4 linked regions of the Mus musculus genome follow. The protein of the gene in region 4 binds, or shares a complex with, the protein of the main gene of each other region. Links are inferred from orthologs where the notes say so. Each region holds a gene or a part of one and is shown on either strand. Other genes may lie near its edges. The genes, in order: Cnot10, Cnot11, Cnot2 and Cnot6l.

Region 1 (5,843 bases), on a different chromosome or scaffold from region 4:
AAAAAAAAAAAAAAAAAGAGCACTGACTGCTCTTCCAGAGGTCCTGAGTTCAATTCCCAGCAACCACATGGTAGCTCACAACCATCTGTAATGGGATCTGATTCCCTCTTCTGGTGTGTCTGAAAATAGATTTTTTAAAAAACAAAGAAAGAATGCCCAGTTGGGTATGGCAGATGACACCTGCAATCTCTGAACTCTGGAGGCTGAGGCAGAGAGATTGCCAAGCAAGCCTCAGTTCCTTAGTGAGTTGTAGGCTACCAGGACCAGTGTGAGACCCTCTCACAATGAGAATAGTGCCAGGGTCCTACCAGATAGTAGAGTTCACTGTCATATGCAAAGCCCTGGCTTTCATCCCTAGCACCACACAAACCAGGTGTGGGATCCTGCCTGTGATCCCTGCACTGTGGGAGGTAGAGGCAAGAGAATTAGAAGGTCATTTTCAACTGCAGAAAGTTCAGATGAGGTCAGCCTTTTCTGCACAAGGTCCTGTCCGAGGTGGTTGTTAGTATGATGGATGGTAGGTGGATAGATGGAGTAGAGTGGACACTGAGGCTTAAGAGAAAGCAGGCTTTGTAGTCTCTGTTGTACCGCATACATTCTCCCTGCTATTCTTCACTTAATGTATTCTAGCTGCTTCTGTGTGTGTGTGTGTGTGTGTGTGTGTTCAACTTAAGACCTTGTACATATTAAGCCAGCTCTACCATTGAGCTGAACTCTAGCTCCCATGTTTAGGTGCTTCACGGTTTACAGTTTGCACAGGATTTCACTGTGGATGTGTGGCATATATATTAAGTTACTGTGTTTTATCACTCGTTAAAAAGAATAAGATCAATAAAAAAGTATCAGGGTTGTTTTAGAAATCCATCAAAACAGGGTTTCACTCAGCTTTGCCCTGTGCCTCATGAACTGTCCTGTGGGGACTAACTGACTTTCCAAATAGGTTAGCTAACTGACAGCAACTAGGTCTGCTGTCTACTTGAGAGACTGCAAAAAACAGATTATGTGTGTAAAGTAGTTTGTGTTGTTTCCAGGTGAATGCTTGAGATGCATGTTCTGGAATAACCTTGGTTGTATCCATTTTGCCATGAGCAAGCACAATTTGGGGATTTTCTACTTCAAGAAGGCTCTGCAGGAAAATGACAACGTCTGCGCCCAGCTCAGTGCGGGTGGCACTGATCCAGGTGAACAAGCACTGGGGACCTGCAGTGTCCTCCTTGACACACGTGGTTGAAATAGCAAGTGTCGGGGAGGGATCTGGGCGTGGGTGATACATTCAGGGCTTGGAGGATGAGACAAGATGTCCTAATCAAAGGAATAGCAGTCATCCAGTGGGAGAGTAATTCCGGCCTCAGAGAGCAGAGGTGAGAGGTCCTGGAGCAAGCTGACCAGCTCATTCGGGAAGCTGCAGCTTAATGAAAAGGTCCTGCCTGCAAGAATAAGACAGAAGGATGACTGACGAAGATTCTCGACCTCAAGCTTGGGCTTCCACATGTGTACACACACACACACACACACACACACACACACACACGAAAACACATAGACATAGCAGAAAAAAAGAAAAGACCAAAACATTACATTACCCTCAGTTTGTTATGGACTTGAATCAGTAGTCCTGAGTGGTATGCCATCCAGTTCTGATTAGTCATTAGGATTTCTTGACTGTGGGCTAATATTATAAATTGTTGGCAGAACTTCACAAGTGATGTTTTGGTGGCATCTCAGAGCCTTAAAGCTGGCTGGAGAGATGGCTCAGTGGTTGAGAGCACTGACTGCTCTTCCAGAGGTCCTGAGTTCAGTTCCCAGCAACCACATGGTGGCTCACAACCATCTGTAATGGGATCAGATGCCCTCTTCTGGTGTGTCTGAAGACAGTAACAGTGTACTCACATAAAATAAACAAACAAATAAACAAATAAATAAATCTTAAAAAAAAAGCCTTAAAGAAACTTGCTGAAGTTTGTCATTTACGTTCAGATTATATGGATCTTTGATCAGAATTTAAAATCAAGCATCTTTGTAATTTTTAAAACCATAAACACCTATTTAAGTGATGAAAAATGTATTTTAAATGGCAAGTGGTAGTCTTGTAGACTCTGAGTCACTGAGAAAGTGTAGCATATGGTAACAAAGTGGCCAAGCGGTCTGAAGGAGGGCAAGGTGCTGTAGTTCAGAAAGCCAGTGACTCACTCAGCTCTTTGCCTCCCTGAAGCAACACTGCCAGAAGAGCTGGCCCAATCCTGGGCATTTGTGTCCTTCCTAGTACAGACATCTGACATGAGTGTCAAGTACTTGGGGAGCTAGGCATGGAGAAACCACCTCAGAGAGAACCATTACAGTGTCACATTGGAGTCACTGGTACTAAATATGGAAGTGTTTACTTGTCTATTCTCCACATTTTATCACAAGGCAAAAAGTTTTCTGGAAGACCCATGTGTACATTGCTGACCAACAAAAGATATGAGCTGCTCTACAACTGTGGGATCCAGCTGCTGCACGTCGGGAGGCCTCTCGCTGCCTTCGAGTGTCTGATTGAAGCTGTTCAGGTGTACCACGCGAATCCTCGTCTCTGGCTACGGCTGGCTGAGTGCTGCATTGCTGCCAATAAAGGGGTGAGTGCTGCTTGAGTAGCTCTTTGAGTCTCTGTTTCTCCTCTTCTACACTTGGTACATGGAAAGCAGAAGATACTTGGGACTGGAGAGATGACTCAGCGGTCAAGAGCACTGACTGCTCTTCTGAAAGTCCAGAGTTCAAATCCCAGCAATCACATGGTGTCTGAAACCATTCGTAATGAGATCTGACGCCCCCTTCTGGTGTTTCTGAAGACAGCTATAGTGTACTCACATATAATAAATAAATAACTTAAAAAAAAAAAACCTGGGAATCTAAGACCTCATTTCCATTTTCACTGCCACTGAATGTAAGTCTTCTGCTCACAGTCACTTGCTTAGCTGTAATTCTTGGCAAAGGTTGATGCCAGTGAGGAGTCTGTGTCAGAACAGTGAGGCGTGGTGGCTCCTGCTAGGGCTGCGCTGTGCCGTCTGTAAGCAGGAGGGTGGGCTCTGTCCCAGGGGTCAGAGCACCTGGCTCTGATGGAGTGTGCACAGGAGTGCATTAAACAGCACTCCCTCCAGTGAGGCACGTGACAGTCATGCATCTTCTCGGACACACCGGTCCTCAGTGTCTGAAACTGGGCTGCCCTGAGCTGTTCTCTCTCGGTCGGTAGCAGCCTCCTGAGTCTCTGGCTGAGCGGGGTCGGTGTGAATTGGGTGAAATAAGAATTACCAGGTGTCTGAGTTCCCCTCACCTCTCTTCCCTTGGTTTGTGAGGGGTGGAGCAGTTGGCTTCCTAAGGCTTGCCCGGCACACTTGTCTGACATAGGCTACGAAGGATACTGAGGCTCATTATTGAGCAGCATTTTCTGATGAGCAGCAGGTGAAAGAGCCAAGGGTTTAGAAGAAGCCTGTGCGGGGCAGTTTCACATCCAGGGTTTCAGAAGTTGACGTGAATGCAGCAGAGAGGGGACTAATGCTCTCGGAAGACTTTGATGATGTATTGAAAGTTAGAAGGGGGAGGGAGAGGAGAGAGCCAGGGCAGGCATGCACACATATGGACGAGTGCTGGTTCAAACTCAGAGCCTTGTTCATAACAGGAACGTACTCACCCTCTGAGCTGCTTCTTTAGCTCTATGCTTGGGGTTTTCCTTGTTAAGATTTATTTTTATGGATAGTGTGTTTTCCCTGCTTGTGTATGTGCTCACCACATTCGTGCGCAGCCTGCAGAGGCCAGAAAAGGTCATCAGAGCCCCTGAAACTTGAGTTGCTGTGTGGGTTGCTGGAAACACTGGGATTCCTCTGCAAGAGCAGCGAGTGCTCTAAACGACTGAGCCAGCTCTTCTGTACTTCAGGGGGGTTTTGTTTGTTTGTTTTTTAAAATTTATTTATTATATTACGTATACCGTAGCTGTCTTCAGACACCTCCAAAGAGGGGATCAGATCTCATTACTGATGGTTGTGAGCCACTATGTGGTGCTAGGATTTGAACTCAGGACCTTCGGAAGAGCAGTCAGTGCTCTTAACCGCTGAGCCATCTTTCCAGCCTCTGTACTTTAGTTTTTAAAAAAGTTTTTACAAAAGGCTTCAGGCAGGGGCTGGTGAGATGGCTCAGTGGGTAAGAGCACCCGACTGCTCTTCCGAAGGTCCAGAGTTCAAATCCCAGCAACCACATGGTGGCTCACAACCATCTGTAACAAGATCTGACTCCCTCTTCTGGTGTGTCTGAAGACAGCTACAGTGTACTTACATATAATAAATAAATAAATCTTTAAAAAAAAAAAAAAAAAAAAAGGCTTCAGGCAGAAGATTCTGTACCACACTGGGCAGAGCTTGAGCATATATTACCTCAAAGCCAGCCTCCACAAAAGCCACACCCACTCCAACAATGCCACATCTCCTAATAGTGCCACTCCTTGTGGCCAAGCATTCAGCACATGAGTCTATGGGGGCCAAACCTATTCAAACTGCCACAGTTCTGTTGAGAGACTCTGCCTCGATAAACAAATAGGAGAAAAATCTAGCACATCTTTGTATGTTACCCCCAGGCCTCTGATTCAAAACCAGGCACATATGTACCACATACACAAATACACAGTGCAGGGGTTGGGAGGGTGGGGAAATGTAGTTTCACAAAGTGGCTATGATAGTAATCCTAGCACACAGGAGGTTGAAGCAGAAGGATTGAAAGTTTGAGGCCAGCTTGAGCTACAGAACAAAATCCTGTCTCATACACACACAAACACAAATTCTTAATTCTAAAATTTGGTGCTGGAGAGGTGGACACTTGCTTCTCTTGCAGAGAACCTAGGGTAGGTTTGTAATCACATGGTGGTACACAGCTGCCTGTAGTTCAGGGGATCCAAGCCCTCGTCAGCTTCCACAGGCACCAGGTGCACACGTGGTACATATTCATATCAACAGGCAAACATTTGTGTACATAAAATAAATACATTATAGAACATAATAACTGGGGCTGGAGGGATGGCTCAGAGGTTAAGAGCACTGACTAACCTCTTTTAGAGGTCCTGAGTTCAGTTACCAGCATCCACATGGTGGCTCACATCCATCTCTAATGAGATCTGATAATCTCTTCTAGTGGTCAGCTACAGTGTACTCAGAAATAAAGAAATCTTTAAAAAAAAAAAAAAAGGCCATAATACTTGTAAATTATTTGACCATATTTTATGCCATTTTTACTGTTTCTTTACATTTTATCTTAAATATTTTTTGTTTTCTAGACTTCTGAGCAAGAAACTAAAGGTCTTCCCACCAAAAAAGGCATTGTACAGTCTATTGTTGGTCAGGGATATCACCGTAAAATAGTTCTGGCATCACAGTCAATTCAGAACACTGTCTACAAGTGAGTATTTTGCCATGAGCCAGTGTGTCTCTGTAACAACACTGTCGGTGCCGTGCTTTTAGTGGGCAGTAGCTTGGGCTTGACCGTTTCACAGGAGGAATTGCTTTGTGGTGACAGTTTATTGCTACATCATTAAACAGGCCCAAACTGAGTGAGTCTGTAGTGAGTTGGTCTGTCTACTGTAATTATGATTTAGAGCTTCTGTGGATACAGACAGACCCTAAGGAAGCACACTACTCATTGCCATGAGTCAGAATGTCCAGAAGAGGGCATTTGTCTCCTTTTTATTTTAGCTCATGTCTGCTTCCTAGAGAATTGCTCCTCAGCCTTGTCTGTGAGTTCCCATCCAGGGATTCAGCCGACCTCTGATTAAAAATATTTACAGGCAAAAAAATTATAATAGTGTTGACCGTGTGCTGACTTAGGTT
Region 2 (5,843 bases), on a different chromosome or scaffold from region 4:
AAGTTAGAACTTGTAGGAAGATACTGTTACCTCCAACCTAGTTTTTCATGTAAAAACCAAATTTTTAAAAAGATTTGTTTTATGTGTGTGAGTGTTTTGTCTGCATGTATAACTGTGTACCATGTGCATGCAGTACTCACAGATGCCAGAAGAGGCATCAGATCCTCTGGAACTGGAAGTACAGATGTTGTGAGCCTCCATGTGGGTGCTGGGAACCAAACCCTGGTCCTCTAGAGAGCAGCAGGTGCTCCTGACCACTGAACCATTTCCCAGCCCCCCCCCCCCCAATATTTTAAATGATGTAATAACAATTGTTTGTAGTTTCAGTTTGCTCTTAGATGATCATGCAGCAGTCCAGTGTTGAATCCACAAGTTAAAGACACAGAATTAGGAGGGATGGGTATGGTGTATGCCCGCAACCCTAGCACGTGGAAGGCAAGAGATTGAGACTTGGCAGTCATAGGCCAGGCTCCATGAGACAGGGAGCCTGAAGCCAGTGTGGGCATAGGGACCTAGCCTCAAAATAAATGAACTTTTTTTTTTCTTTTGGTTTTTCGAGACAGGGTTTCTCTGTGTAGCCCTGGCTGTCCTGGAACTCACTTTGTAGATCAGGCTGGCCTCGAACTCAGAAATCCACCTGCCTCTGTCTCCCGAGTGTTGGGATTAAAGGCGTGCGCCACCACGCAAAGCAAAATAAATGAACTTTTAAAAGAAAGAAAAAGTATGTATTTGGACACAGGAAAAAAAAATGTTTTCCCATCTGTCTTAGTCAGGGCTTCTATTCCTGCACAAACATCATGACCAAGAAGCAAGTTGGGGAGGAAACGGTTTATTCAGCTTACATTTCCATACTGCTGTTCATCACCAAAGGATGCAGGACTGGAACTCAAGCAGGTCAGGAAGCAGGAGCTGATGCAGAGGCCATGGAGGGATGTTCCTTACTAGCTTGCCTCCCCTGGCTTGCTCAGCCTGCTCTCTTATAGAACCAAGACTACCAGCCCAGAGATGGTCCCACCCACAAGGAGCCTTTCCCCCTTGATCACTAATTGAGAAAATGTCTTACAGTTGGATCTCATGGAGGCATTTCCTCAACTGAAGCTCCTTTTTCTGTGATAACTCCAGCTGTGTCAAGTTGACACAAAACTAGCCAGTACACCCATCTCTTAGATGCAAAGCGTGGGTGTGATTGGTGCTGTAAAGTACTACAGGTGGAAGACAGAAGACTTCCTCTTCTGTCCCTCTCTAGAGTAGTTCTGTTGTCTTTCTGGGTAAGACAGAGCATGGCTCTTGTTCTGAATTATTCTAGTTTATGGAGTTCTGTGTGGCTTTTTTTTTTTTTTTTTTAAAGAAAAAATGGAGACAAGGTCTTGCCATATATCTCAGATAGCCTTGAGCTCATTACATAGCCAAGGCGGGCAACTCCTGCCTCAGTGCTTGTATTATTTGTGTGCTACCACAATCAACTTGGTTGTGTGATTTGGGAGAAGTTGGTAATTAAGATCTTTAAGAATGACACTATTGTCATAGTGTATATTACTAGACAAAACCAAGGCTTACCACGTCTAGAGGAAGAATGACTAGTAGATTTTTAAATTGTCGCTTATTTTTGTGCCATTGCAATTCAGATCTGAAAATATATGAAGACATAGTATTGGCTTTGAGGGAAGAAATTTAACAAATTAACAAAGACAATTTTTGTAATTTATATAAAACATTTCCATTTGTGTACAGGAAAATTCTCTAACATAACTCAAGAACCTCTCAACTTGTCTTTTTTAGCTCCTCGGTGAGTTGGAAAAAGATCCCAAACTTGTTTATCACATTGGCCTTACTCCAGCGAAACTTCCAGATCTAGTGGAGAACAACCCTTTAGTCGCTATAGAAATGCTGCTGAAACTGATGCAGTCAAGCCAGATCACGGAGTATTTCTCTGTCCTGGTCAACATGGACATGTCCTTACATTCAATGGAAGTTGTAAATCGGTAAGTTCTCATGTCCCACCAGAGCGGGTACACAGGCCCTGATTATATGATCCAGAAGTCTGAAAAGCTGGAGTAGTTTCTCTCCCCTTTCCTGATTCTGTTACCCTGACTAATCTTTGCTGTTCACTGCATATGAATTTGATTTCAATTCATAAGAACTCAGTTGTTGAATTTACTTCACTGTCACGTGCCCCTTACAAATTCAGGTTTTATGTTCCTTGGCAGCCAGGAGTTGCAGCTTGTGCGTGTGGGTCTCAGAACTGGTCATCTAGGCATGCTGTCGTGATTACTAGTATTCTCCCGGCTTTGTTGTTCTGTAGAGCCCTGACTGTCCTAGAACTCACTGTGTAGACCAGGCTGTCCTCAAACTCATGGAGATCCACCTGCTTCTGACTCCCAAGTGCTGGGATCAAAGATGTGGACCAGCACACCCAGTTTCCCAGTTCTTTCTTGATTTTGCTCATTAAACATCAAGGAAAGAATGAATTCCCTGTTGATGTGTTCTGTATAGTTTTTGTCTTTTATTTTCCTTACAGATATTGTTTAGGTAAATTGTGAATTAAATGTAGTGAGAGGTAGATGGGGTATTATTTTTTTTGAGGTTTTTTTTTTTTTTTTTTTGGATAGGATCTCATAGTATCCTAGTAGCTTCAAATTCATAGCAGCCTGTCTGCCTCATTCTCTGAATGCTGGAATCATGGGTATGAACCAGGTTACAATTTTTTGAGCATCCATATATAAGTTGGCAGTTGTTTCAAACTTGAACTAAGGAATGTCTGGTCATCTGGTGACAGCTTGGCTGGTAGCTCTGTGCACAAGAAAGGGCTGGGCGAGGAAAGGCACATGGGTTTCCAGTTACTTTGTAAGACTCTGTCACTGGCAGAGCTGCCTGGCTTCTTGTGGAAAACTTGGTGCTTGCTTCCACCTCTCCTTGCTGGCACCTCCTTTACTATAGTTGCAGTTGCTGGTTTTTTTGTGTTTTGTTTTTGAGACAGGGTTTCTCTGTATAGCTCTGGCTGTCCTGGAACTCACTCTGTAGACCAGGCTGGCCTCGAACTCAGAAATCCACCTGCCTCTGCCTCCCAAGTGCTGGGATTAAAGGCGTGCGCGCCACCATCGCCTGGCACAGTTGCTGTTTTTTGCATTGGCTAAGTTCTGTCTTTGGATGGAGCAATCTGAGTGTTCATGGATCCCCCTCACTGCACTCTTGTAGTTCTGGCTTTTTCCAAGTATTAAGCAGCCTTGCTGATGCAGGTCTCAGTGGGTATGGTGGCTGGTTGTAGCTTTCTTTTCTGTTTGTTTGTTTGTTTTGGTTTTTCGAGACAGGGTTTCTCTATATAATCCTGGCTGTCCTGGAACTCACTTTGTAGACCAGGCTGGCCTCGAACTCAGAAATCTGCCTGCCTCTGCCTCCCGAGTGCTGGGATTTGGTTGAAGCTTTCTTATATTTTTGGTTGTGAGCCTAGCCTTTAACGGCTGAGCCATCTCTCCAGCCCAGTTGTAGCTTTTCTTAAGGTACTTCAGTGCCTTAGTTTAAGGATGCATAGATGTAGAAGAGGCAGCATGTATTCATTTACCTTTTCACACTTGTAGCAAAAGGTTTGCAGTTGCCAGCCCAGTGTTGAAATGCTTCTTGGGCTGAACTTAAACTCAGTGTGGAATTCTTACCTGACTCCATATCTTAGTACTTCACTTACGTGTTTGGGAAGAACTGTCTTGGCTTCAATGACTCTAAGCTTTATTACACAGCTGCTGTTCCTGTGTAATGGCTGACTCCAAGCCTGTTTGTCTTGCTCAGTTCTCAGGAAGGCCTTTTTGCTCCATATCAGCTAAGTAACTTTTCAAGGCTTTTTGCCAGGTTCATGTTTCTTCAAAGCTCTACGTTAGTCTGATTATAGGTTGTTCTGTTTAGTCTATACGTCACCTCAGACACGCTGCCTCTCATAGTGCTTAAACTGACAGGACTTTTCTAAGTTTTAAGTGATGGCAACAACTGCTGGTTATTTGAGGCTTGGAAGGAGGGAGACCATGATTGACAGTGATCCAGCCAGGCACGCTCAGGGATAGGATACTAACTGCTTAATGGATCATCTCAGAGTATAATTCGTGATGCACACTTAACAGAAGCATCAGAGGTTAAGTGCCTGTGGCTCTTGGGTTTAAAACTAGAGAATTGGGTCATATAAATCATTATCAGATGATCACAGGGAAGGCTTGACTTCATGATTACAGTACTTTCCAATACTAGCAAACACAGTTAACAGCTCAGATTTTTCTTTTGTGAAACAGACTAACTACAGCTGTTGACCTACCTCCTGAATTTATTCACCTATACATATCCAATTGCATTTCTACTTGTGAACAGATTAAGGATAAATATATGCAGGTGAGTAATGTAAATGCTTATAACATTGTCATTTGCCAAGAAAAGAAGTTTCTAAAACTTGTTCCTTTTTTCTTTTCCAGAATCGTTTGGTGCGTCTTGTGTGTGTGTTTCTCCAGTCTTTGATCCGTAACAAAATTATTAACGTGCAGGACTTGTTTATAGAAGTGCAGGCCTTCTGCATTGAATTTAGTAGGATACGGGAAGCTGCAGGCCTATTCCGGTTGCTGAAGACACTGGATACTGGGGAAACGCCTTCAGAGACCAAAATATCAAAATAATACCTCACTAGAACTTCCCTTTCTATTGTTCAACTGTATTTGGATTGGTTTTTAAACTTGTAACTCTTGAGTGGATTGCTTGATCTAAGAAATATAAATGACTTTATTTACTTAAAGTAAAATTTCCTTTTTCCTAGATGTTTCCCATGGATGAATTTTGGTGAGAACTTGGGAGAAATGTTTATTTTAGCTCTCTTGCTGATGACAATCCATATGAATAGTTATTCTGAAAATAGTTATTGCAAGAAAGGTGTAGGTGTTGCTCTTTTGAATTTAAAACACAGTACCTGTTTCTTTTAGAAAACAAACTGTAGGTTTCTGAAAAACCAGGAATTTGCTTTCGTAGCTTCTAGTGTGAAGCATGGTCAGTGAGAGTGAGTGAAGACGCTGAGAATTTACGGTGAGCGTGGCTCTTAGTAAGCAAGGTGTGAAACAAGGATGCACATTTCTGACAACAGTGTTCCTGGCCCACTGACAAGCATGGGCACTCTGCCAGGCTGCGAGAGTTGGCATTTTATTCTTCTCTCTTAACCACAGTTAGTAAGGGTGTGGTTTTTGTGGTCTTAAGGACAAATACGAGCTGGCACACCAGAAATGTATACCCAGGATGCCTGTTTGGTGAGGAGGTAGAAGAGTCAGTACCTGGGACAGTGTGCCTTAATTTTTTTTTTTTAAGACAGGGTCCATCTATGTAATTCTGGCGCTCACTATGTAGAGCAGGCTGGCCTTGAAATCAGAGATCCTTCTGCCTCTGCATGCTGTGATTAAAGGTGTATACCACCAAATCCAGCCTTTTTAAAAAATGTCTGACATACCATTTTATTTAAAGAAATTATGAAGAATTCCTTTTATGGAGATATCTCTAGAACCGATTTATGGGGACAGAATCTGTTCTCCCACATCCGGCAAGGCTTAAAGGAAGCCAAGCTTGGTGATTTTGTCTTACTGTACAATTACAATCTCCTAACAGTGGAGAAGGAACAAGAAACAATAATCCTTGCGCCCCTGTGGGAGTGACCCCCTCTGAACTAGAGAGCTGACTCCTCTCAATGCTCTGTAGTGGCCACTGCTATTTTACAGATGGCACTGGGCCAACAACAGCCCATGAACAAAGCACTGTTTTAGAATGACAAGTTTCAAAGACTTACTGTGGGCAACAAGCTCCACAGCTGATAGGCATGTCTTGTAGCTCAGGTT
Region 3 (5,843 bases), on a different chromosome or scaffold from region 4:
GTCAAGTAATGACGACAGCAAATCTGTAAGTAGCTGAGCACCTTGTGTGTGAGTGGTGTAGTTTTCTCCCTTTAGAATTGCCTGACACTAATAGTTACTGACTAGACGCTGCTGCACAACTGTTTGAGCACTGTAATCATCTAACTTGAAGACTGTAGAAAGCTTTATAACTTAGAAGGTAGCATTTTTTTCCTATTTCATGTAGGTTTGCAAATTTCTGTTGAACTTGTGAGTTAATTTAGACTTTTATTGTAGTCCCTGTCAGCTGGACCCCATGACGTTTGGTTATATAGACTTCTAAGGAGCTCTCTTTTTCTTGAGTAAGTTTTCTCCTTGAAGAATCTCTATGCACATTTTAATACCTGTGTTGATTCAGCGACCTCAGCTTCTGATTTAAAGTGTGTTTATTCCTTCCAACATTCATGGCAGAGAGCTGGTTTTTTTGTTTGTTTTTTGTTTTTTGTTTTTCTGTATGTTTGATGGGTAAGGATGGAAATAAGTATAAGTTTTGCAAGGTCATATATTCCTAGTTTACCTTTGAGGTTTCTTTGGTAATATTTTTAGTACTGTAATATGTAATTACTCTTTTTATATAGAAGTGTGCATCAACAAAGCATAAAACCCCAAGAAAGACAGATATTTTTCATATTTTACCCCCTGTGATCTATGACAGATTTAAAAAAAACAAAAAAGAAAAGGCTAATTTTTTCAAGGTTTCTTGCCTCATTTGTAGACACAGAATTTATTTGTATTTCGTGAGGCAGTTATGGGGAGACAATTTTCAAGTAGAAAACAGATAATTACTACTAATTTAGATATAATAGTGGATGGCTAGCAAGGGGTTGATGAATTTAAACTTAGATATTTAGCACATCTAATGTCATGCTTTTTTTTTTTTTTCGTGCTAGAATTTGAGTACATCGGGGAAGACGACTTCAAGTACAGATGGACCCAAATTCCCTGGAGATAAAAGTTCAACAACACAAAACAATAATCAACAGAAAAAGGGGATCCAGGTGTTACCTGATGGTGGGACTCCATAAATATGTCAGAGATATTTGAAAGTACAGTTTTCTCTACTTTCCTTAATATAAAGTAAAAATAACTGTGTTTTTCTTAACCAGGTCGAGTTACTAACATTCCTCAAGGGATGGTGACGGACCAATTTGGAATGATTGGCCTGTTAACATTTATCAGGGCAGCAGAGACAGACCCAGGAATGGTACATCTTGCTTTAGGAAGTGACTTAACAACATTAGGCCTCAATCTGAACTCACCTGAGTAAGTTTTTCCCTCCATGTTTGTACATATCTTCTAGTCTGTAATAGATTCTCATACTGTTACCTTTTTCTTTTGAAGACAGAGTAACCCAGGCAGGCATTATAGGTGTTATCCTGTATCCTGTGCCACCACAGAGAGCCTCAGACTTGTAGCTAATCTCATCAGCAGCCTGCATACTCCTGGGCTGTTCTTTCTAGCTAGCCCATAGATCACTGAGAAATACCAAGGATCCATCTACAAGGCATTTGGGTTAGTCCCCAAGCCACATCTTTATCCAGCCCATTGATCTTGTCATTATTCGGAACTAAGTTTACCTTGTTGCTTGCTTTTTAACTATCACTGTTTCCCATGCCTCTCTTGTGGCTGTGACTTCTATATCATTTGATTCTATTGCGACTTCTCATTCTCTAGCTCTCTGTCTTCCTCGGTGTTCTTGTCTCCTCCTCTTTGATGAGCTCACATCCTTCTCACCATTAAATTTTATGATGAATCATAATTGCTCACTTAGGCAAGCTTGACTGTCTGCCCTTCTCACTTCTCATCTTAAAAGTCTGTACCCATTGTTGTATCTGTTTGTTTGATTCTTGACCATCTTCTGGTTGGACTACAGAAAAGTGTAATTTCACTGTCTGGTCCTGCTGCACACTGATGCTCAAGAACTTAAACTTGAGTCCAAAATTTTGCAGGCATACTTCTTTTGTTTTGTTTTTTTTGTTTGTTTGCTTTTTTTTTTGTTTGTTTTTTGTTTTTGGTTTGGTTTGGTTTGGTTTGGTTTTTTTGTTTGTTTGTTTTTTTCGAGACAGGGTTTCTCTGTATAGCCCTGGCTATCCTGGAACTCACTTTGTAGACCAGGCTGGCCTCGAACTCAGAAATCCTCCTTCCTCTGCCTCCCCAGTGCTGGGATTCAAGGCGTGCGCCGCCACCGCCCTGAGCAGCCATATTTCTACCTGATGACATAATCCTTTCAGAACCTTTTGTTTGCTTTTGGATGTGTTTGGGTTGGTTGGTTGGTTGGTTGGTTTGCTGCTGTTATCCTATGTGACTGTTTTGAATTTCATCAAGCCAGGAATAGCATTTCCTCCTGTCCGTAGCTCTCATAATGACCTGGCTTCTATTTCTACTTTACAAAGACAGGTGTAAGCAGATAGAAGAGGACATTAACCTGGTCCTGCCTCCAAATCTAATGACCTGCCACCAATCTAAATCTGACATGACCTTGCCAAAATCTTTGGTCCATGCTTCCTACTAAAACTTCATCAAAACTCATGAGTGGGAGTCTTAATTTTTTCTCCTTTTCCTGGTGCTGGCATCCAAACCAGTGTTGGACACAGTAAGCAAGTGCTGTGCCCCCGAGCTACACCCTCAGCCCGCTTCCCCCCAGGACTTTGGAAATGGTCTTGGCTGGTGTAGTGTAGTCCAAGGTGGCTCCTTAAAGCACTCCTGCTTCTGTGTGAGTGATGATGTTATAGCCACATACATGCCATGATTTCCTTCCAACTTACAGCATTTCTCTTTTCACATTTCTAGTGCCAAATACAGAGAAACTTATTTTTCTATTTGTATTGAAATTACATTATCTTGATCAACCTCTTTTGAGTTATCCTCATTCTTAATTCTTTTTTTTTTTTTGGAAGCAAACCGTCTCAAATGAGTCATCCTCATTTTTCTAACCTGTCTTCTTTCACTCTACTGAATCCACTGTTGCGAGGAATCCGTTCCTGTGATTCCAGTAAGCGCTCTGCAGCATCCCCACTTTCTCTTGGTGCTCCTTCCTCACTTGACTTTGAAGATACCATTCTTACCTGGTAACGTTGGCTCATCCCTCAGTTTCCCTTGCTCATATCACCTTTGGATTGTCTTCTTGATGATCTTATCTAGACTTGTGCTTTTAAGGACCACATAGATTGAAAATTCCAAACACCTACTTCCATGGCAGACTTTTTTTCTTGAACTTGAGATTTTAGATGCCGTTATTAGCTAAATATCTCTTTTAAGATTTGGGTTAAACCTACACCATGGCTATGCTTTTTTGATCTCCATTAATACTTCCAGAAACGACATCATCCTTAGTCTCTCCTTTTCTCTCAGATGCAGTCCTTTCAAGTAGATACAGAATCCAATCATAGTCTCATTAAGTTGCTACCACCCTGGTTTGTTGCCTGAATATTCTGCCAGCATATCACAGCAGGGATTCTTGGTTTGCTCTTTTTGTATGGTTTTGTGTAGCACTCAAGATAATTCTTTCTGTGCTCAGCCCCAAGTACAGATTTGTTGCTCTGATTTAAACCTCCCTGAGTGGCAGCCCTGCAACGCTCACATCATCCTGCCTTTCTTCTGACTCCACCTTGGAAGTGTTTCCCTGCCTTCCTCTGCCTCTCATGTCACGCTGTCTCTGCCTCAGTTGTTCTAATATTCCCCTTGGCTAGTACAGTGTTCTACTAGCTATTGACCTGTGATTATCGCTCTTATATCCTTGAATATTTGTTTACATCTAAGCTTGTCAAATCGGACTTAAACTGATCACCCTATTTAATTATATAACCAGTATTATTCATTTGTTATGCTAATTATCTGCCAGTGTCCAGTTAGCCATACACTTTTACAGAAAGTAAGTTTTCCAATATCAGCAGTCTTCGTTTTTATCACTTAACTTATTCAGAACATAGAATAGGCACTCACAATACGTGTTCAGTGATACGAAATCTGGCTCCTCCTCATTTCGGCTTTGAGTGAGGTGGACATGGAAAGTACTATAATTGGAGAGTAGTGTAGAAATGAACTTAGAGCATTGTTAGTTACCGCTAATTTAAAGTAGACAATTTCCATTTTGTACCTAAGTATATTCTGACTTGCTGTGCTTTACACTCTGTTGGTGAGCACTAGAGGAAGCGAAGCGCTCTTGGGTTACTTTTCTGCTATAAAGTTGCAGTAAATTCAAGAAAGGGAACCAAGAAGGATGCTTATTTTTTTATTTGAATTCTTTTTTTCCCATTTTCCTGAAATTAAGTTAGAAATACAGTTTTCTACTTTGTTCTTTAAAGTGGCTTCTTTTTTACTTGTTCAGAAATCTCTATCCCAAATTTGCATCACCCTGGGCTTCTTCACCTTGTCGGCCTCAAGACATAGGTAGGAGAATCTATTTGTGCTCAAAATTGTTTAAAAGGTATTTCCTAAGTATCAGTTAGTAACACCTTTGTTTGTTTTATTATGCAGACTTCCATGTTCCATCAGAATATTTAACAAACATTCACATTAGGGATAAGGTGAGTGAGTAGACCTTTCTATTCTCAGGCGTCGATTTTAGCTATTATCTTGGTACCACTTCCAGTTCAGACGGCATGCTAATCCACTAGCAGTCTTAGGCGTATGTGTCTGTATACCATTCACATAACAATTTTATTTCTGTTTTTATTAATATTTTTATTAATATGCTGTAGGTCTTTTTTAAATCAATGTTAGGAATGATAAAATATTTCTTGTAATTAATAATTGTAACCATAGTGAATGGAAATACATTAACTTGGAAAATTTGGTGATTCTCTTCCTGACATTCTTATTTTATGCCCTTACTTATAAGAGATGTTATTCACATAAAATGTTTTTAATGGGAGAACCCACAAACACCTTTCTGAAGTTATTCGATATTTTTCCACTGTATGTGTCACACCAGTACTGTAGACCTGAGGCCTCCTCTTAGGCCAGTGTGAAAAGTACCGGAGAACTCCATGCATTCACAGCGGCCAGCAGAGTAGGGTAACAACACACTGGGAGGGAGCTGCACTCACTGAGGCAGGCATGTGGAAAAGCCAAGTGACTGACTGGGCGTGGCTCAGATAGGCCCTGTGTTTAGTTAGGTAGAAGCTGCAGGTGCTTGGGTGAACATGAGAACTAAGACCATCACACTTATCCTAGGTTTAGAGTTTTGTAGGCTGTGTTCTACCTTGTGGGAGGAAATGTGAAAAGATTATCTTTTAGGCATTCATTTAAACAAAATATGAGTACTGTCTCTCATTTTTATGCTTAGTCCTATGTGATACACTAGAAAGAGATGCTCTGTGAACCACTGTGCATGAAGCTTCAGCTTCAAACCTGTGTAGCTGGAACTCCGTGGGGTTCCACATTCTCACTCTTTAGCCTTGGGGTCAGCAGATAGCCTTGTTTATTTAAATGTTAGTTTTCTCTGCTAAATGAAGGATTTCGCTTTATCCTTCCAATTTTTATTTTAGTGGTAACAGTTATTTTCTGAAATTTTTACATTTGTTTTACAACTTAGCGTAATTTGTTTTTTGTAGCTGGCTGCAATCAAACTTGGCCGATATGGAGAAGACCTCCTCTTCTATCTGTATTACATGAACGGCGGGGATGTATTACAACTCTTAGCTGCGGTAGAACTGTATGTTCAACATATCCTATCGCTTTCTCCTCTCGCATATCTTGGATATTCTGAAGGTTTTTAAATAATGATGGTTATGGATTGTGTTTTTTAAATTGAAGATTGTCCATTCCATGAAATTTCAGTTGTTAGCAGGGATGTTGTTGGCTAGGAGCTCTAGACCTTAGCT
Region 4 (5,843 bases):
CACATAGAAAAGTAAACCCTGATGATGAAGAGTTTTCAGGGCTGCCGGTGGTGGTGGTGGTGGCGGCACATGTCTGTAGGATTGGCTAAAGAGTCTGCAGGGCTCTGGCCTCTGCCAGACCAGGCAAGCAAATGTTTCACAGACATACATGCAGGCAAAATACAGAAATAAAAGAAGAATTAGCATCGAATCAAAAACAAGCAAACAAATACAAACTAGTTTAGTGTCTGGCTTAAATATACAACTAAACAAGGAACTTTGTTGGGCTTCATGATCACAATTGATGTCATTTAAATTCTTTTTTTAAACTTTTATTTGTTGACATTTCAGATAATAGTGATAATAGCTCATAGTTCTAAAACTTTTTTACTATGTATCACTGTTGACATTCAATCAGTCTTTACCTGTTTATTACCACCTGTGCTTAGCAAGAATTTTAGCACCTGATATAGCTAAGCTTCCCTGGAATGAACATACACTATTCTGTCAAAAGTTTTCTTTGAATATCTTATTTATCTTATGATTTCCCAAGTTTCCTGTAGGAGTAGAGTTAGAGATTGTACTTAATGTCAGTCTTATCTCTGTAGTTGCATTAGTATATTCCCATGTCATCCATGGAACACTTCAATTTTTAAAAGAAAAGGAAGTCCTGCTGTTCATGTTCAGAACAAGATGTTCCTTGATGAACTGATGGCAACGGCTCATTGTGGTTACTCCCCTTTTGTTTATTTCCTGATCATTTTGTCTACTTGTAGCTATTGCCTTTACCTCTATTTGACTTTCTGTCATTTTCAGAATGAGTTGTATATCTTGTTCTATCCTAAAAAATACATATATAGAGGAAGTTGTTTAGTATACAAAGCTTAGAGAATTTATAATATAATACAAAAGGGAAATATTAAATAGGCTCATTCACATTTTCAATAACCTTTTTCCTTTTTTGTTCTGTTTTATTTTTTGAGACTGGGTTTCTCTGGGTAACCCTGGCTGACCAGGAACTGACTATGTAGACCAGGCTGGCTTCAAAATCATAGAAATTAACTCCCTTTGCCACCTGTGTGCTGGGATTAAAGGTTGAAACCACCGTGCCAGCCTCCTTTTTTCATTTTTTTATTCTTTTGAAACCAAGACAGGAGGAAGAAAGATTTGTGTTTTGATATTAGTCAGCTTTAATAGAAATGGGACAAAAACTGCTTAGAAGTTAATATAGTTTTACTAGTACATAAATCTATCCGCTTATAGCTTGCATTGTTTTGGTCACTCATACATGGTGATGCACAGTTAAGCATTTAACTAGCTCTCTGGGGTAAATAAGCCTTGATTGGTAGTGTTTTCTGTGGATTATGTGCTTGTCCGATCTGATGTGATACGTTTGTTCACATTGTTGCGAAAGGTATTGTTCAAGTTAGAAATCACCAGCTCTAGTATTTTGTAGAAGTTGAAAGAAATACTTCTGAACTTAACTTAGTGATATATAGTTTAAATCCTATGTTTATAATTATAATATATAATATTGCAAACATAACCCAGAAGAACTAATAAAAGCTCTCCAAAATACGTGTTCAGTAACTAGCTGTTATTATTGTCTTAGTATACAGTAGGTTAAGAGAAAATATTACTTTTTCCATACTTTTTAGATTCTTACTTTTTAACTTGTCCATAAACTATTAGAAAAAAAATTGGCATATTAGTTTAAGCCTTGATTTTCTGAGCTGGTCTAAAATCACTATTTCTTTAACATATCTTCAATGCATCAGGTGTTATAGCACATACCTGTAATCTCAGCATGTGATAGGGTGAGGGTCTTGAAGTCAAGCCTAGCTGGATTACATAGCAAGGCCTTGTTACATTAAATGAATAAATGAATAAATTTCACATGTAGAAATACTTCTTTCTGCTTGAGTATGGGCTCTTTGCTATAGTTAAATACTAGGTTAAGTGAAGTCTATGCAGCTTGGATTAGTGAAGGCACATTAGTTTTGCTATTTACTAATCCCATAAATTAAATCATCTAGCTCTGGGAAATAGAATAAATGTTATAATACAAGTATGTGTCTGCATGTGCATGTCTCTTCCTGCTAATGGATATTTTGCTTCAGTCCAGAACTTGTAGAAATGAATATTTTGAAGTAAATAAATTTAGACAGTTAACTGTATAGTATGTTAGACTTTACTAAACCAAGAAAGTCTTTTAGAGGTGCCTAGACATACATTTGTGTGTTTAGCATTTTTGTTTTATAATTTATGTACAAATGTAAAACTTTTTGATGCAGTAAGATGCTGTGTTTCTTTATTGAGCCACGTTTATTCATATAATAACCCATCAAACATTAGAGCCTTGTTGAATCTACAGTCAGAGTAACAGGTATCGGGAATTACAGGTTTTCTTATTTAGATTTTTCCAAAGAAAAAATTGTTCTTTTCATGGAGTTTTTCTCTTTTTAAACATATTTTCCTTTCCCCTTGTGTTCTCCCTAATCTCTTTCCAGGGTGTGATTGACTACATTTTCTATTCCAAGACTCATATGAACGTGCTTGGTGTCCTGGGGCCTTTAGATCCTCAATGGCTGGTTGAGAACAACATCACTGGGTGTCCACACCCTCACATCCCTTCAGACCACTTCTCACTGTTAACACAACTTGAACTCCACCCTCCACTCCTGCCTCTTGTCAATGGTGTTCACTTGCCTAATCGGAGGTAGTGGAGTACAGCCCCGCAGAGACGGGGATCTGTCGCTATGGACCTGTACAGTTGTAAATCAAAGTATGTAGGAGTGAAGTATGGCCATCTTTAACGCTGCTTCTTCAGGTTCCTTTCACTATGTGTTTGCTATAAGACTGTATATTTTTGTGCATACTGATATCATTTGGCACTAGGGCTGGAACCAAAGTATTGCTGTCTGTCTCTATCCAAAAGTTTAATACACTTTAAAATTGGATTTATTTTCCTATTATATTAGGAACCAACATTCACGATTGATAAATCACTAATTTGAGACCCCACACCATTGTTGTTCTCTAAAAACAAATACATTCTTTTGAATGTTTTCAAATAAGCCAATCATTTTTGTAAAAGGTGATTTAAAAAAAAAAAAAAAACTCCAAATACAAGATTTTCAATTGAATGATGGTATGCCTTATAGGAAAAACTTTGAGTTTCTGTTTTCTTTCATAACAAGCTGATTTTTGGCTCTCAAGTCATTTGCACATTATCAAAGCACTTAAATTTGCTTGATTTGTACATTAAATTTGATATAGCCACTAGCTATAACAAGACAATTCGGGAAATGAAAGACAATTGCATAACATGCTTTAAAATCAAGCATAGTATGTGACAGTTTGTTGGCCAAATGCTGGTTGTTTTGTTTGAGGAATCTTTTCTCTTCTCTTCTTTTTTCCTTTTCCTTTTCCCTTTCTCTTTTCTCTTTTTTCTTTTCTTGTCTGCCTGTTAGTCCTAATCTCTTTAGAAGTATTAACTTTAAGCCCATCTCTCAAGTTCATTTATAAGGAAATAGCAGATAATACTGCCATATATCTTGAAAGTAAAATTTGGTATTTTTAGGATGCCCACAAAATTAGTGTCTGGTATTTTTCATTTTCGTGCCCAAACTTTTATTTTCTGTCCGGTTGTACTGGAAAAATATGATCTATATCTTTACCACTACAGTTTAACACTTAAGGAAAATTGCTGAATGAAAAGCCCCTGGTCAGTTTCAGAAAGGGCAAGCCAGATAATATTATACGTGTTTTCCAAAGTAAGTAAAATGGCTGTTTGTTTGTTGTTTTGGTTTTTTTTGTTTCATTTTAAGGTAACAGTAGAGATGATTTAGAGGAAAGGACAGATTTGGGGACATAATTGAAAACCTTGGATCACTTTTTTCTGACTCTAGCTGCCAAATGGCCATCATATGCTTTTAATCTTCGTTGCCATACTGTCTAGATTTGAATTAAGCTACTGTTTTATTCCCAAAGTTTGATGCCTCTATATGTATTGGGAAACACCACCACCACCACCATTTATTGTTGGCCAGGAGGTGCCACTTGAGAATCTTACGTAAGAGGCAGAGAGCATAAACACCATTTGTGGGGAGAAAATTAGTTGGCAAAATTAGAAAATGTTAATTATGGCACAGTAACATTGGAAAAGGTTGTGTCTGTGTTTTTAAGTTTTTCTTTATTCTGCTTTTTTGCTGCTATAAGAGTTTTCTGAAATTTATATTGTAAACTTTTCATGCACTTTACTGTTTCTAGTATCAAAATGTGATATTTTTAATAAACAAGAAATTTTCCATTATGTGATGAAATTTAAAAAGAAAATAACCTATATTTGTGTCTCACTAATATATAAAGTACAAGTCAAATTTAAATTATTTAATTAGCTTTAAATATATACAAATTGTCTCCTCTTCCAAACCTGACCTCTTAGGCTGTTTTATTAGTCTTAAATGATACATTTCCTGTGGTCATTTTATACTAATTTCTTCCATAGTTTACTGATCAGGCTATATAAAAGAATATTTCCCGAAGGGTAATTTTAGTGGGATGAGGGTGGTGGGGTGATGTAATATCACGCAGGATTGCATCCAGAAGAGCTCTGTAAAGCCTAAACTCCCTTTAAAAAGTGCCTAGTGACAGAGGCGTTGTCATCTATTGTAATTGGAATGTCATTGTAGTTCAGCAAAGTTTGATGTAAATAAAATATTCTTTTAAAAATGTTAAAGTACCTGAATAAACAAACAAAAGAAACCCTTGATGACAGATTTTCCTCAGTGTTCAGGTATCCCTTCTTATATACCTCAAGCATCCAACATCTAGCCATGAAGATTGATTACCTGACGCATAGTACTGGAAAGTAGAATAGCATGAAAAACTTAACTGTGTGGACATTACCTTTTTCTGTAATCAGCTACTGTCTGTTTAGTTTTCTCCTGTTTCGGGTGGGCTTTCTTCTCTGGAGGTATGTGCACTAACAGAACATCCTTCTTTTTTTCATAGATGCATGTTAACTAGCAATGTGAGCAATATTTCCTACCATACTTCACTCCCAATATTTTTGAGATGTTTGTATAAAATGAAATTTAAAGTTCACTTATGATTGTATATGAACCACAGAGGAGCCCATTTATTAATACAAATCTTTTTTAATAGTTAAATGTAGAGGGGGAAAATAAAAAAATGGGAAACATTGTAAACAGCTTAAGTTTATTTTGTGTATGATCGAGGCACTCTGTTGCAAGAAGGTGTGTAATTGGGTCTCTCTGCTTCCAAATGCACTCTTTCAAACCATTCATTATCCTGTGTATTTTAATGTGGTTTTCGTAAATGTTGGTAGTAGCTCTGTTGAAGTAGGTGATTGTGTTTTGTTTTGGGTGGCACACACCTAGGGCATGGTATCCCAAATTTCATGTGCACGGTTTCCCTTTAGCCTCTTGCCCAAATTTAACACACTGTTTCCCCTCGTTCCCTTTGTAAAAGGAGTGGTATCTTGTTTTGAGCTGCCAGTTCAGATGATCAGAAATGCTGCTGTCCTCAGCATTGTCTTGTTAAATGCATGCCATTTGGAACTTTGGCAGTGAGAAGCCCAAAGGACAAGGTGAATGACGTGATATATATTCGATAAAAGTGAAATATATATACTCATATACTTTCTAGTTCTCAGAATAAGTTAATAAGCTTTATGCCTTTGGGCTGCTGCATATTTTATCTGATAAGAGAAAATTTGGGCATTTTTAGATTGTGCTATGTATTTTTTTAAATGTTCAATATGATTTCTGGTAATTGTCTTAAGAACTGGAGTGTTAAGTTTATTAAAATGGTGTTGTTTGAAGAAGGGGAAACTGCAC

What was found.
Region 1: Cnot6l (region 4) and Cnot10 share a complex: the UniProt entries of both Homo sapiens proteins name them as parts of the CCR4-NOT complex. The link is inferred for Mus musculus from reciprocal best matches to the Homo sapiens genes CNOT6L and CNOT10.
Region 2: Cnot6l (region 4) and Cnot11 share a complex: the UniProt entries of both Homo sapiens proteins name them as parts of the CCR4-NOT complex. The link is inferred for Mus musculus from reciprocal best matches to the Homo sapiens genes CNOT6L and CNOT11.
Region 3: Cnot6l (region 4) and Cnot2 share a complex: the UniProt entries of both Homo sapiens proteins name them as parts of the CCR4-NOT complex. The link is inferred for Mus musculus from reciprocal best matches to the Homo sapiens genes CNOT6L and CNOT2.

Annotation. Positions count from the first base shown.
Region 1 is NC_000075.6:114,614,561-114,620,403, reverse strand, and holds part of Cnot10 (CCR4-NOT transcription complex subunit 10), read left to right. Parts: intron 1-1,031; coding exon 1,032-1,181; intron 1,182-2,409; coding exon 2,410-2,612; intron 2,613-5,293; coding exon 5,294-5,415; intron 5,416-5,843. UniProt on the Homo sapiens protein: Component of the CCR4-NOT complex which is one of the major cellular mRNA deadenylases and is linked to various cellular processes including bulk mRNA degradation, miRNA-mediated repression, translational repression during translational initiation and general transcription regulation.
Region 2 is NC_000067.6:39,540,621-39,546,463, forward strand, and holds part of Cnot11 (CCR4-NOT transcription complex subunit 11), read left to right. Parts: intron 1-1,779; coding exon 1,780-1,982; intron 1,983-4,271; coding exon 4,272-4,368; intron 4,369-4,448; coding exon 4,449-4,646; 3' UTR 4,647-5,843. UniProt on the Homo sapiens protein: Component of the CCR4-NOT complex which is one of the major cellular mRNA deadenylases and is linked to various cellular processes including bulk mRNA degradation, miRNA-mediated repression, translational repression during translational initiation and general transcription regulation.
Region 3 is NC_000076.6:116,493,524-116,499,366, reverse strand, and holds part of Cnot2 (CCR4-NOT transcription complex subunit 2), read left to right. Parts: coding exon 1-25; intron 26-908; coding exon 909-1,029; intron 1,030-1,124; coding exon 1,125-1,281; intron 1,282-4,345; coding exon 4,346-4,407; intron 4,408-4,494; coding exon 4,495-4,544; intron 4,545-5,573; coding exon 5,574-5,674; intron 5,675-5,843. UniProt on the Homo sapiens protein: Component of the CCR4-NOT complex which is one of the major cellular mRNA deadenylases and is linked to various cellular processes including bulk mRNA degradation, miRNA-mediated repression, translational repression during translational initiation and general transcription regulation.
Region 4 is NC_000071.6:96,074,039-96,079,881, reverse strand, and holds part of Cnot6l (CCR4-NOT transcription complex subunit 6-like), read left to right. Parts: intron 1-2,489; coding exon 2,490-2,702; 3' UTR 2,703-5,843. UniProt on the Homo sapiens protein: Has 3'-5' poly(A) exoribonuclease activity for synthetic poly(A) RNA substrate.